Caenorhabditis elegans: one gene and its partner. The protein of the gene in region 1 interacts with the protein of each later gene in a pairwise test. Each region holds a gene or a part of one and is shown in the gene's direction. Other genes may lie near its edges.

Region 1 (7,219 bases):
TGACGTTCACGGGTTAGTTTTCCACGAGCTCAAATTTTTTGCAATATAGCTACTTTGGAGGCCTGTAGAATTGCTCCAAAATTTTTCTTTTGCAAACGTTCAATGTTTTTCAGACCGTTTAAAAGTAGGAAAATAATTTGGGAGATTTTTGGAAAATTTTAATTTTTTTGAAAAAAATCTGAAAGTTTGCAAAAAAAATTTTGGAGCAATTCTACAGGCCTCCAAAGTACTGAAAAAATGCACTTAAACAGTTTCAGATCGATGCTAGAGGGGTTGAGAGTGGAACTTTGCCGCTTAAAATTTTGCAATGACATATCCTTGTGGAACACTTTCAAATGACACATGTCTCGTTTTGAATTGTGACGGTAAACTAAAAACCTTTCGTTGTCAATAGTATAATCAATTTAAAAAGAGACACAGTGAATATTAAGCTTGAGATAAATATAATAAAATGGTCGTGACACTGTATGTTACTTACAAAAATAACCCCACCACATTGAGCGTTTGACGGGTACACTTGTTCACAATATCTTCCTGATAAACCTTCGGGACATGCGCACATGGAGCAGTTATTGGGGTGGGTGTATCCGTTACGAAGGCATGGAAGGTCTGCGCACGACTCTGTGCATCCATATGCCATGTTAATCTAGAAAGTTTAAAATTTCGGAGCTTTTTTCCATTATTTATAGTGGCTTAAACCAATACACTGCAATTTTTGCAGAACATATCGAAATTTGTTCAACACGGAAAATTTGCGGATTAGGCCGAGTTTGAGTTATTTTCGGCAAATTTTAAATTCTTTCGCACACATAATTTGCGAGCTATATCATTTTCAATCATTAAAAGCTGCTTAACATACTGCTTGGTAATCTAAAAACGATGGGCCAGCTCTTTGACCAATTGTCGACTGCTGAACTCTTTCAAGTGTCCGAATAGTTGGAGTATATGGATCAGACGCAAACCCGTACGGACCATAATGCATGACGCTTCCTGCAAACCGAACAGGCGTGAATGAGAAAATGTATCATTAGTACTAACCGGTGTCATATGGTAGGTTATAAGTTTCCGCGTGATTTTCTCCAACAGCTTGGAAATTATTCCATCTGGAGAGTGGAATATTGTTGTAGTTGATAGCGATATGTCGTTCCTGTAAAATTCGACAACTTCTAATATTAAATTAAAAAGTATTTAGATTCAGTTAACCAACCTGGTCCGGTCGAGCTTGTTCGTGGAAAATACCTAATGCGTGTCCTATTTCGTGACTTATAATCCCAACAACATCACATCCTGGAGTTGAAATAGAAATTCCCTTGAAACTTTTTTTTTTGTTGAAACTTGATTAATATTCAAATTAATACCTGTGTTCCACCAACTCTTCCAACAAAGGAAGAACATCCTCCTCCATCGAAAAACTCTAGTCTATCCACATTTGGACCTCCTTCTTCAAATCGGAGGCATGTATGTTGCTGCCATAGGAGCATTGCACTTCTGAATTTAGAGATTCTTTCACTTAAAGGTGGAGCAGCACCAGTGTGGAAAGTGTCAAAACCTATTCCATCAAATCTACATTTTTCATACTTAAATTTTGTTTTAACTATTCGTATTGAAACATTGTAGGGGTCGGAACATGCGACATTGCTTTGGATTTCCTCAAAGTTGCATACTTTTCAATTTGGCAATTTGCCAAAACTTCGACCGGAAATTATGAAAAATTAAAAAAAATTTAGAGTGTTTTATCATGATATTAGATCGTTTCGGATCATTATAAAAGTATTTAGACAAAATCCCCATTGGCGCTACTCCACCTTTACAAAAATACAACAATTGTAATTTTTGAAACTTCAATTAACAAATAAGTTCTAAGTCTTTCACACACCTGATTTTTTGTCTTGTTTGGAACGGTATACTTTCGGCATAATCAAAACTAATAGGCCCTCTTGTATCCCACTTTTTATACAATGGATTTCTTCCAATCTAAAAATTATTGGGTGACACGCTGTTCAAAAATCCATATTTTCACCTTTCTTTTTTCTCTTTTGCCCTGTGTAAACTGATCTTCAATAATTTTCACTTGTTGTTCAGACAAGTCAACATCTCCTTGGAAATACTCGTCAGCGTTATTCACTGCCAATTCATCCTGTAGATAAAAGCATGAAGAAAAACTGGTCTTGATATGTGTCAAGGTGGTGTAGCTTGCATTATGGGAATGTTTTTTTTTAATAAAAATGTATTAAAAATGTAATGTGTATTGATTTTTTTAAAATATTAAAGAAATCGCACTCAAAACATTGAAAATACTACGAAAACACAATAAGTTGAAACATCCATATCTATGATTCCATATCTATGATTGACTGAAATTAGCTTTCAATATACTTCTAGTTAATTAAACTCTCAATGGATAATTCGATCAAAAAACGAGGTTTTATTGCAATTTCAAGCTTGAAATGTCTATTCAAAAGCCGGTTCATAAACTTTTAAATTATTTAGTTTTGAGTAAAAAGACCAACGTGATGTACTCCTGTATTTGGATTTCGTTGTATATCATCAAAGACAGTAACTGAATCGCTTTGAATTAATGTATTGTGTCTAAAAATCACTTTTTTTCTAGAAATCTTTCACACTTGGCTGAAATGTCACCTACCTTTCAGCTTCATCATTCAGCAGCTGCTTCACCCTGGCAAGATGTTTTTTCGAAGCTTTCGGAACTCGCGCAGCTGATGAAAAAATAAGAAGACAACAAAAACATGAGGCAATAATAATGTGACGATTGTAAGAAGGACTAGGCATTGGGTAGAGAAAGGCGCAGATTTGCCTTCTGCCGCCGATCGTCCACTGTAGTTGTGTGATTGGCTTTTCGTTTTCACTCCTCTGTCTCCGAATCTTTTCTCACCCCTTCAAGCTTCTTCTTTTTCTTCTTTTTCTTCGCTTAACGTGACTCATCTTAGACACATCTTCCGTCGGTTCAGCTGTAAAACTCGCGGGTTTTTCGTTAGTGACTTGGCATACAGGTTTGCTTCAAGGTTTTTCTCGGTTTCACCTTGCAGTAACTAGCTAACTATTGTTCCAACAATGGTGATTCAGATGTTAGGGTCAGGTTCCTTTATGTTTTATTGAACGTAACTGTGGCTATGACGTGATCAATAAAATTAGGTCAATAATAAGAATAAGAAATTAATAATAAAAAGAACGCAAATTTTTTCAAAAGTTACGTATGCACCCAGTATAAAAAAACCCATAAAAGTGTACCTGCAAAAAAATGATTTCCAATATGCTTTCCATTCGTTTTTTTCAATGACAAATTAATAAAACGTGAAATTTATTTGCACATTTAGGTTTACTATTAGGAAAAAGTAAATTCTGAGCCTGATAGGGACAAAAAAAGTTATGAAAACTTTTCAAAATGGTTAACATTTTTGAACAGGTATACTTCACAAATACCATAACTAGAGATATCAGGAACAATTTTCAATTTTCTGAAACACCCCAATCGTTTTTTTTTAACTTTCCGCGACAATTTTTTCTTAAAATTGACCAAACCCTAAAATAAAGTTTTGCAGATTTAGCAAACCACTTCACACTTTTTCTTCCAGTAGGCAGTCAGGCACGAGGCAGGCACGATGTTCCCAATCAGGCTACTTCGGAACAGTTCTATTTCTCTGCACATTTCAGATACACTTACTTACCCCCTTGTGTCCGAGTCCTCATCAAAAACAGCTGTCTCCATTATGACGACCCACTTGAGAGCAATACATATGTACCCCTTACATTTGAATGCTTACCATTTGTCTGAACATAAGATAACAAAATACTTAGCTTTCTTCAGTATTACGTAATTGGTGATATTTTATAAATTCAAAATGTCACGTGAACGTGCTAACGCTCGAGAACGATGCCGGCAAAAATCGTAAGTGCTCCAAACTTTTCAATATTATATTTGGGCTTTCTTTTTGCAAATTTTGTTTGTTTATTATAAGTTAAGTTTGAATATAAATTCAACTGTAAGTTTTATTTTCATAATTAACTATGAAACGTTCTAGATTTTATGAAACAACAATACTCTTTTCTGCATGCGTAAAAAAATCATTCTAAAATTAATCCGTTTATAATATTTTAAACTTGACTCCATTACGTTCCTCAGATAATTTTCAAGTTGTAGTTCAAAAATTGGAAAATATTTCCTCTGTTAGTCTTGCAGCCTCTATTAGTCTTTCACCCCTACGGGCTAATCGAAAATTAGTCTTGCAGCCTCTATTAGTATTGCAGTCTCTAATAGTTTTGCACCCGACTTTTTTCCTGTCCAGCAATATCTTGCATAGAGGCTGCAGCGTTAATGAATTGGCCCATTTTTTGGAAAAATTGAACTCGAGTTTTTGATCAAAAGCGTTCAAATAATTGATGAAATATTGGAAAAGGATGTATTTTTTGTTATTTAAACGATATCAAGTTGAGTTTTTCATGGTCACATTTCGGAGTTTTGAAGCATTCGAAAATCAGTCTTGGAGCCTCTAATAGTCTTGCACTCTCTATTAGTCTTGCATGCCTACGGAACAATTGAAAATTAGTCTTGCATGCAAGACTAATAGAGGAAATACGGTAATTAAATTGATCCTTTTCAAACTTTTCGGAACCTGCAAAATTTTTAGCTTATTTGTATTTTATTTATGTAGCGAACAAATTTAAAACAGAATATTATCTTTGTAAAATTTAGAATCGGCAACGCATTCAACATGTTGCGCAACCATCTTCCGAAGCAATTACGAGATCGAAAACCGTCGAAAGCGGAGACCTTAAAGTCAGCTGCGCAATATATATCTCATCTATTGAGGATTTTGGAGAAAGAAATAGAAAACTCTTCGAATAATTTAAAAGATGAACATCAAAAAGGTGATTTAGAAATATTATCAGAAAAAGTGTTTCTATCAATTGATCTTAAAATTTAATAACTTTTTTTTCAGACCCTAGTTTGACCACGCCTTCACATCTGAATTCGAAAATTGAAGTATGCTATGCACACCAAAATGGAGAATGGGTCCCGCCAGAATGTCATTTTGTTGTGAACTATGATTGAATATTTATTTTTATTAATTGTGTATTGTTTTACCCACTCATTTTTATGCAATTTTTACACTAATCAAACTTTATCAAAAAAACCAATTTTCTATTAATAAATGTGAATGAATAGGTATTGCCATTCTCCCCGCTCATAACTCAAACACTAAAAATGTTTCAAAAAATGTTCACCTATCAAACAATCGCACATAATCATGCTTATTAGTTTCACATGTTTGAACTATCTACAGAACCAATAAAGCAGCCGACACCTCGTGAGAACCTATTTTATGTTAAAATCAAAACGACTGTAACTCCACAATTTTGGTTTGTAACATTGTTCTATCTTAATCTGAAAACAATGCAAAAGAGCGACGAAGCTTTTTCTCAAAGAGCATTAAAAGTTTTCCTTTTAACAAAAAATATAACGGTTTGTCAATAAAACATTCATTTTGATCAGTTTATTTGCATCATTCAACATTCTTTTGCCTTTTTATCAATTTCTACGTTTTTGCCATTTTTAAATGAGCAACAGGAAAACTTCAAACCCGCCAATCATCAGAGGTTTTTCTCAAATCTCTTGTCGCCTATTTCGAGAAGGATTTCCAGTTTTTTTTAATACAGCAAACCATTGTTATCAGTTTGATTGATTTGATTTATTTTCAACATTAAGAGCCAAAAGGTAATACATTATCAGTTGCTGCACGCAAGCAAGCATGCCGCAACTTTCTCTTCCTTTTTGATAACATTGATTTTTTAAAATAATTTTTAGAATGAGCTATACAAACCCTCCAATTCTCCCAACTTTCCGCGGGTTTTCTCAAGACTCTCGACGTCCTTTTCGCGGAGGGTCTCGTGGAAGAGGAGCAGGATTCAGAGGAGTGTATCACCCTTCAGTTATCCCGCAGGTTCCTTTGTTACAAGCCACTTTGGCTAATCAGGATGACACACAAAATGTTTTGATACAGTAAGTGTTTGAATGTGGCCAGATTTCCCACACTTACGATTTTTAGAACGAACTACCCGAATCAGCCAAATCCGTCGAAATAGGGTCACCTCAAAGCTTTCGTCGCCCATTTCGAGGAGGGTTTTCTGGACGAGGAGCGGGGTTGAGAGGTGGTTATATCCCAACTGCTGTTCAGCAGTTTCATCCAGAAATCGTTCTACAAAACCAGGATAATCAGCAAGAGGCATTGATTCAGTAAGTTTTATCACTGATTGTTTTATACTCACGTTCTTAAAAAAGGAGTATCCTAAATGGGGAAATTGTCTTAAAATGTAATAATCGTGCTCAAACTTACGAAAATAACAAAAGAATAACGGGAAAAATTAATTTCAAATTTGCGCGTGAATGAATCTTAGGCCACCACGCGATTCCTAGAAAAAATTCGTTCAACAAAACATTGATATCAATTTCATTTTTCCAACTTTAATTAGTTTTTCTCTCTCAAAAAGTTTAAGAAAACTGAGAAGAAGGAATTTTATAAAATACTTATTCAAAATACAATACAGAACAGGTTAAATATTTGAAAATCCTCATGGCCTAGGATTTCTTTAGTTAAATTTTAAAGATTTTTTGCCGATTTTTCTGTCTCAAAATGCTCAATGTTAACGGATTTTTCCCGTTTTCTTTTGTTATATTCATAAGTTTGAGCACAAATGTTACATTTTAAAACAATTCCCCCATTCAGAATACTCCTTCTTTAATGCTTGGTCAGTCAACGTTTGGTAACTTTGATGGTACTCAAAAACCATTGTAGTTTCCGAAACACGGTTTTTGAATAAGATTTCAATTGATCTGTTCATAGTTGCAAGTTGAGTTTAGGACTGTTTTTTTTGGCAGCCTCGCCAGCCCCACTGCAGTCATTTTTTTCAGAAAACTCAACGAGGCTAATTCTCTAAATGAGAAGCATAAACTGGCAATCACCCAGTTACATAGAAAAATTGCACAGATGAAACTGGAAAAACAACAGTTGGAATCTCAGGTGCCAGCGAACAACCCACCGGACACCTCAAATGCAGTTTTGGGCCAGGATGGCGGTGTTGGACTTAGTCTGTCTGAAATTAATACGATGCTAGAAAATGTGAGGTAAGTTCTTTGATGTTTTGGACTTTTCACATGATATTGAACAGAGTCAGATTAACCGAAGAAGTCAATGAACATATC
Region 2 (7,257 bases), on another chromosome or scaffold:
TGCCTTATCTAGATAAAATACCCTATTTGATCTGTCAATGATCAGATAAATCTTCTAAAATGATTGAAATCTGATTGAGACCTATCTTTACTTGCATCCCTTTTTCAACATTCTCAAATAAGTATCACCATTTAGTTAATCATATTTGTAGAACAAATTCGTCATTATTACCGTATTTCTAACTTTTTCTAACCAAACCATTGAGCACTTGAATTTGATGACAGCTGCACTCCGTCCCACAATAGACACCTCCCCAAATACTCTCGAGAAAAAAGTTCCAGTACCGTATACTTTTGACAACATCTGTCAAAAAATGCACTTTAGAGACGGGCATTGGAAGTATCATTTCTTTTTATAATTGTTGGTTTATTACCACAGAGAGACAATTTTAGGATATGGCTCAAGATATTTGAAGACTCGAGTAGTCCCACAGTATTGTGATTGCTGAAACTTCTGTTGTGAATATGAGTAACTTTATTCTAATAAAATATACCCCTTTCCTGTGCACACTCTTTCTCTCACTCTTACCATATTCTGAAGAATTAAAATTTCAGAGATCCCTACAAAACTCTAATAACATGCTTCAAAAATGAATGTACTCCCTACAGTCGGGTGGCGACATTTTCCCCCAAGAGAGCTGACCTCTTCTATTCATTCAATCCCCTTATTCATTCAATCCTTCCCCCATTTTCCTCTCATTTCACCCAAAAAAGACTGGTGAATGAATGGTGGGAGAAGAGATGGAGGACCCCGGGATAATAGAGGATTGTGTGCTGCAGGAGGTAGAGAGAGATGGTTGTGGGCGTGACCTCTCCCGATCATCGTCTCTGCGTCTCTTGGATGTAGACGGTCCCCGGGAGAAAGAATGTCTGCGTCTATGTACACCAATATACTGTTTATGTCCCTTGAATGGGCTTTTATACGCGTCCCTCCACTACCACCACCCTCGAAGAACCATTCCTAGCCACCCGCATAGCCGCTAAGAAGGGGGGAGTGCACTCTTTTCGTCTTTTTTTGTGTCTAAATCTGTTCCGTTTACTAGCTTTTCAAGTTCATGATCTTACTGTAATAAAACATAGCACATATTTTGAATGAAATACATAATGTATCCCATCTTCTGATTTTGAAAATTAAAATTTCTCTCCTCCCAATTTTCAATTTTGGATCTTTTACCAAATAATTTTGATCTGCATTACTTTTTCTCACTCCTACAATGTTTACGAATCCTTACCAATTTTGAATTTAAACAAGAACGCAAATGTATTGTAGGGCAGTTTTTTTTTCAATTATTGAGTTTATCAAAAAATGTATATTTGCATCCGAAATGTTACTAGCTCACGTTTAAAGCTTTCATATATATCTTATCCTACGTCTGAATTTAAACTAATTATTTAGATGGGCCTGAAACCCTTTGATCCATCACCCCTTTACTGTTATTTTATTGCTCTTTCGGGATGTCATCCATCCGATAATCATCTACAATGACATCTACATTTACAACTATTTCTTGATACCATCTCAACATCATTACCTCCCTACAAATTGTTCTCCTTCAAGTAACTTGCTCCTAATAATTTATACCGGAACTTAGTAGATCTATTGTGACGTCACAATTATTATTCTTTATTGATCTACCTTGCCTCTTTTGATCTCGTTTGCCTATTTAACCAAACGAGGAGAATCGATTATTTTCTTCTTTTTCTTATTCTCAATATTTCTTCAAATGGGGTTGTCTTGACGAAAATCTAATCAGAATATATTTACTAACCTAATTTTTTCACCTGCTGCTCCAGCCCAATTCCCTACTTATTCCCTTTCCTCTCCCCGCTTCTCCGCTGACTTTATTTCTTTGACATTACTACTATAATCGTCTTTCATATCATTTCGCAGAAATAAAGTTTTCAGAACCTCAATGGCGGATCCAAATAGCCAACTTACGTCAGCCACAACTGTTGCAACTGCCGCCATTGCTCAACCACAGGTTATGCTTCCAAATGCATATGATTATCCTTATAATATTGATCCGACAACGATTCAGATGCCTGATTATTGGAGTGGTTAGTCTTTTTTTCATTTGAAATCTATTATAATTTCAATTATATCATTTGGTAAACCAAACCAAACATGTTTTCGTGAATTTGTTAAAAGTCGCTTGTAATCAGTTAGAAATATTGGATAAATTGCAGAAAAAGGATATAAGTTTGGTATTACTTATCTCGAATTGTTGAATTGTTGATTTTATAAGCTCGCAAATTTTTAAAATTTACTTTAAGTTGAAACAAAATGTATAACTCTTTTAATGTTCTAAAATTTTGTAAAAATCTGGTTTGCTCTAGTAAGTAGTTTATTAACCAAAATGTTTATATCTCATTTCTCAAGTGCAAGTCATCTAAATAAACATTTTCAGGATACCATCTCAACCCGTATCCTCCGATGCAAACAACGGATATTGATTATTCATCAGCCTTCCTTCCAACACATCCACCAACTGAAACCCCTGCTTCCGTAGCTGCTCCAACTTCTGCAACATCTGATATTAAGCCAATTCATGCAACATCATCCACTTCAACGACGGCTCCATCTACTGCTCCAGCTCCAACTTCAACTACTGATGTGCTTGAGTTAAAGCCAACAACAGCTCCAGCCACGAATTCTGCAGAAACATCAGCGATTGTTGCTCCACAGCCTCTTACTAATCTTACCGCACCAATTGACGCAATGTCATCAATGTATACATGGCCACAAACATATCCAGGTTACCTTCCACCTTCAGAAGATAACAAAGCAAGTGAAGCTGTTAATCCATACATCTCAATCCCTCCAACATATACATTTGGTGCTGATCCATCAGTTGCCGACTTCTCATCGTATCAGCAGCAACTTGCTGGACAGCCGGTACGTTTCTATTCTTCTTGGTTTTATTCGTGTTTTACTGTTTTACCACAAGTTAATCTCGACGAATGATTGCTTGGCCCTCCTCAGCCGCCAAGCATTCACGTATGCATAATCCGCTTCCTTTTGATGTGAGCCGCCGCCTTCTGAAGATTGAGATGCATGCAAAAGGCGGCATCTTCTTGAGAAGAACACCCTGTGCGCACTAAACGACCTCCAAAAAAGTCACTAATGTAAACATAAAACAAGGAGAAACATACAGAAAAGATGGATTAGTTACATAATTAGGCAAAGTTTATCGCTTTTTTTGTTGGAGGAAATTTTTGAGATTCTTTCAGTTTTCTTTAAAATAATTTTTGCCATATGACAATACTAAACATTAAGATTCTGAACTACTGTTGTCGTGAACAAAGTTTTGAGACCCTGATGACATTTTTTTGCGTTCCAGTCTTGAGAAATCTAGAATAATATGGTAAAATCCCTGTATCCAACCTCTGACTAGTGAATAACTAAATTGGCCAAAATTTGAAGCTCTTGCTTTTTGCATTGTTACCCAATAGCCGGTCACATTTTCTGATGGTGTCCTCGAAAACCGAAGGGGGCTATTGACCGACGTCGCCGCATGATTAAGTGGTGAACAGAGACGGTCACATTGCGGGGTTCAGTACATTAAAGAGATCGATTGATTTGACTCGGCCCCCAATAGTACCATTTGAGAGAATTAACTGACTAGCAAGGCAAATGAAATTAATTCTTTGTTTTGTTTCATTGAGAGAAAAAGTTGAGTAGTTTTAGATGAGGGTTATAGAAATTATAAAACCAAAAACAATGAAATATTGCAGAATGGTCTTGGTGGAGATACCAACTTGGTTGACTACAATCATCAATTCCCACCAGCCGGTATGAGCCCACACTTTGATCCAAATGGATATCCAGGAATGACCGGAATGCCACCAGGATCAAGTGCATCATCTGTTCGAAATGATAAGTCTGCATCAAGAGCAACGAGCCGTCGTCGGGTACAAGGCCCTCCATCTTCTGGAATTCCAACTCGCCATTCATCGTCTTCAAGGCTTTCTGATAATGAATCAATGAGTGATGACAAAGATACGGATAGGAGATCACAGAATAATGCTCGAGAAAGGTGAGGAGTTTTTTACTTTTAAGACGTTTTGAATTGAACATTGGAAATTGACAATTACATAGTAATTTAATCGAGATATCTCCAAATCTAATCTAATACAAAAAACTTACAGAGTACGAGTTCGTGACATCAATTCGGCATTCAAAGAGCTCGGACGAATGTGCACACAGCACAATCAGAATACAGAACGGAATCAAACAAAATTGGGAATTCTACACAATGCAGTATCTGTGATTACACAATTGGAAGAACAGGTTAGATAATTTTTCATATTTTAAAGAAACATTCAAATTGTGAACAAAATTAATTGGCAATTGTTCGACTGCTGTATTTTTGACTTTGAAGCACATAACATTGCGATGGAATTTATTCGAAAAATTTAAACAAAACACTGAACAAGTTGAAATTTATAATTTTACAGGTTCGTCAACGAAATATGAATCCAAAAGTGATGGCTGGAATGAAAAGGAAACCTGATGATGATAAAATGAAGATGCTTGATGACAATGCACCATCCGCGCAGTTTGGACATCCACGGTTTTAAATTTAAAAATTGACTTTTTAAGCATTTCAAACTATCATTCCCAATCTTCTCCCAATCATCCATACGGCTAAAACTCTCTAGCATATTGTTTTTTTGTTCAAACTATTCAAATGTTCCCCTTCATCTCCCTCCGGATTGGAGGTCCTGTGATTTCTCAACTTCAATCAGTTTTCAGTTTTAAAAATTTTAAACTTTATTACAAGATCATCACAATTTTCTGTATGTTTTTAATTTATTTTCTCCTCTAAATTTAAATCAATCAATAGCTAATTCTAATATTTCAAGTATTAAAATTAACTTTCATATTATTCATTCATTCAATCAACTTCTTCCAACTTGTCTTATTTTTTGTGTGTGTGTATGTGATAAACCATAGCTAATTAGTATCTACTTGAAATGAAATGGTCCACTCAAAAAAAAAGACACCGCCAACTAATTTCACACATGAATTACTCTATTGGGTAACTGTTTCAACACTTTAATTATCCAAGCTCCGATGAAGTGCTAATGTCCTTCGCAGTATGGATTCCACTTTATGTTGAAAGGGATTCCCATTTATAATTAGACATTTAGTTTGACTTTCTAAGTCGTTGAAACGAGATGTTTTTTTCATGGTCTGTCAAAACTGATGTATAGGAATATTGGATGTATAAAATGTCAACAACGGGAAAAAATGTGATACAAACATAATTCATTCACCTTGATCAAAACAAACAAAATTTTAAAATTCAGAACCCTTTTTGCATCACTCAAATTAACTGGAAAATGGCTTTTCGGACAAGTTCAATTGCATTTGGATGTTTAAGAATTGCCATGTGATCAGCTTGAAATACTTCGTGTACAGTAACCTTATAACCATTATTATTTCCAATCCAATTAGTGCACACTGTAGCTGATTTTTTGTTCACTGTCCCGTCTCCATCACCCATGAATTCAGTTGGTGGATAATCTGGAAAGTATCCGGGAGCCCATGAAAACTTTTCCGGTGTGGGGACTCCTGTTCCATAAATACAATGAACTGGAACTCCTGGAGAACTTAAATTTCCATTCAGACGGGCGGCCTGTTTGTATTGTTCCCATCCAACCATGTAATTAATGTCTTGAAAGAATTCTTTAATATTTCCAACAGTGTAGTTTTTGTCAGCAGTTGTCGCTAATATTTCATGTGGTTTCCATGCAACTGGACTTGGAAACAGAAAGGCCGAAGAGGAGAATGATCTGAAGAACCAAATAAGTTGAAGAAAAACATAATTTGGTAGTCTTAGCACCATAAGAGTAAATATTTCACTTTTAAGTTTCCAAACACCTCAAAGTGCTTACCTTTGCATTGCTCTCAAGCTACTCGGTGGTAGAATAACTCTATAATAATTCATATTATATCCAGATGCAAATAATCGAACAATTTGCATTGATCCAGCCCATGGAGCCGCCAAACTAACAAAACTCGATATGTATTTGTCTTTCCAAGCCTGGAAACAATAAGTGTTATTTCATCTAACACCTTTCAATTATCTCACCTGATCCACATAATTATTCAAGAAATACAAAGAAAGGGGATTACCCATACTGTGACCGACGAGTACGATCTTTTGATTGTCATTCCAGCGATATGTGGTTTCAATTAAGGACTTCAGTTGAATGAGATAATCGTTTAATTCATCTGAAATTGTTTAGAATTAAATACAAAGTTGGTTTGGTAATTCGGAGTGCAAAAAAACGGTTTTGCTGATCTTTGTGAGCAAGTTCGCAATTGGAAAGTTGGCGCAAACGGTACGCGGACTTTTAGCGCGGGTATAAACCAGAAAATGTCAATTTCTATGAGAAACAAATGAACCTATGTATTCTCTTAATTCTGAAGGCTCAACTCACTTGGGGATTTTCTCCAATCAAAAGGTGCTCCAATGACATTTTTTCCTCTTCGATAACCCCATGAAACCATCGAATCAACGATATCAAAGAAGTATCTTCCCTGTGATGCTTTACTCTTATCCAACCATTCAACACTTTCAGTTGCTCCAAATCCAGCAACTCTAATGTCAACTCCTGGCATGTTTTCAGACAATCCTGTGGTTGTGTTGAACACTAATCTGAAATGTTATTAAATTGATTTTCTTTGCTCTGGAAATAATGAAACTTACTGCATGTTATCAGCCCAACAATCAATAACCAAAGGTGTGAAAAGTTGTAGATTAAGCCAAAGATCAAAATAATCGGCTGTCTGCTTGGAGCAAACATAATGCACAACTGATGGTTTACCCGTTAGATTTGATTCCAGCTGGCTGCCTCCATCACCAGGCACTGAAAACTATACAATATATTTATTGCGATTTTTTAAATTCCAATTTGCTAAAAACGGACTAAAACTAATTTGGAATGTATGAAACTTTTTAGAACTCGTATTAGAAAGTACTAGATATCTTTTCAATTCTGATCAAATAAAACATCAGAACTGAGAACTTGAACAATTGTGGATGTAATTCAAAAATATAAAATTTAAAATTTAAAATAAAGAAATATAATTACAGTAGACCGACCGAACGACTTGAAAGATTTAAAGTTAAGAAATCAAATAAAACAAAAGCTCACCGAGAATCACCGGAAGTCCTTTCGCTTGTGATCTGCCAAACTTTCCAAACCATTTCGTGTCACTTTTTCCAATTAAAACCAAGAAAATACA

The links. Proteins that work in one complex are often made in the same cells at the same time.
Region 2: the proteins of hlh-19 (region 1) and hlh-2 interact in a two-hybrid assay, tested with the Caenorhabditis elegans proteins (one study listed by BioGRID).

Annotation. Positions count from the first base shown.
Region 1 is NC_003284.9:553,761-560,979, reverse strand, and holds hlh-19 (BHLH domain-containing protein), read left to right. Parts: upstream 1-3,684; 5' UTR 3,685-3,860; coding exon 3,861-3,907; intron 3,908-4,711; coding exon 4,712-4,887; intron 4,888-4,958; coding exon 4,959-5,071; 3' UTR 5,072-5,188; downstream 5,189-7,219. Other genes in the region: Zinc metalloproteinase nas-38, read right to left, coding at 479-646, 860-990, 1,039-1,147, 1,208-1,309, 1,359-1,488, 1,877-1,974, 2,021-2,137, 2,511-2,589 and 1 more; F57C12.6 (Cerebellar degeneration-related protein 2-like), read left to right, coding at 7,005-7,141, 7,186-7,219.
Region 2 is NC_003279.8:7,188,563-7,195,819, reverse strand, and holds hlh-2 (Helix-loop-helix protein hlh-2), read left to right. Parts: upstream 1-1,899; 5' UTR 1,900-1,912; coding exon 1,913-2,057; intron 2,058-2,407; coding exon 2,408-2,895; intron 2,896-3,734; coding exon 3,735-4,036; intron 4,037-4,148; coding exon 4,149-4,290; intron 4,291-4,457; coding exon 4,458-4,580; 3' UTR 4,581-5,032; downstream 5,033-7,257. Other genes in the region: plag-15 (PhosphoLipase A2 Group), read right to left, coding at 5,330-5,798, 5,901-6,049, 6,098-6,240, 6,450-6,667, 6,719-6,878, 7,167-7,257. UniProt on the Caenorhabditis elegans protein: Transcription factor which binds the E box motif 5'-CA[TC][AG]TG-3'. Plays a key role in the anchor cell/ventral uterine precursor cell (AC/VU) decision; required for VU fate.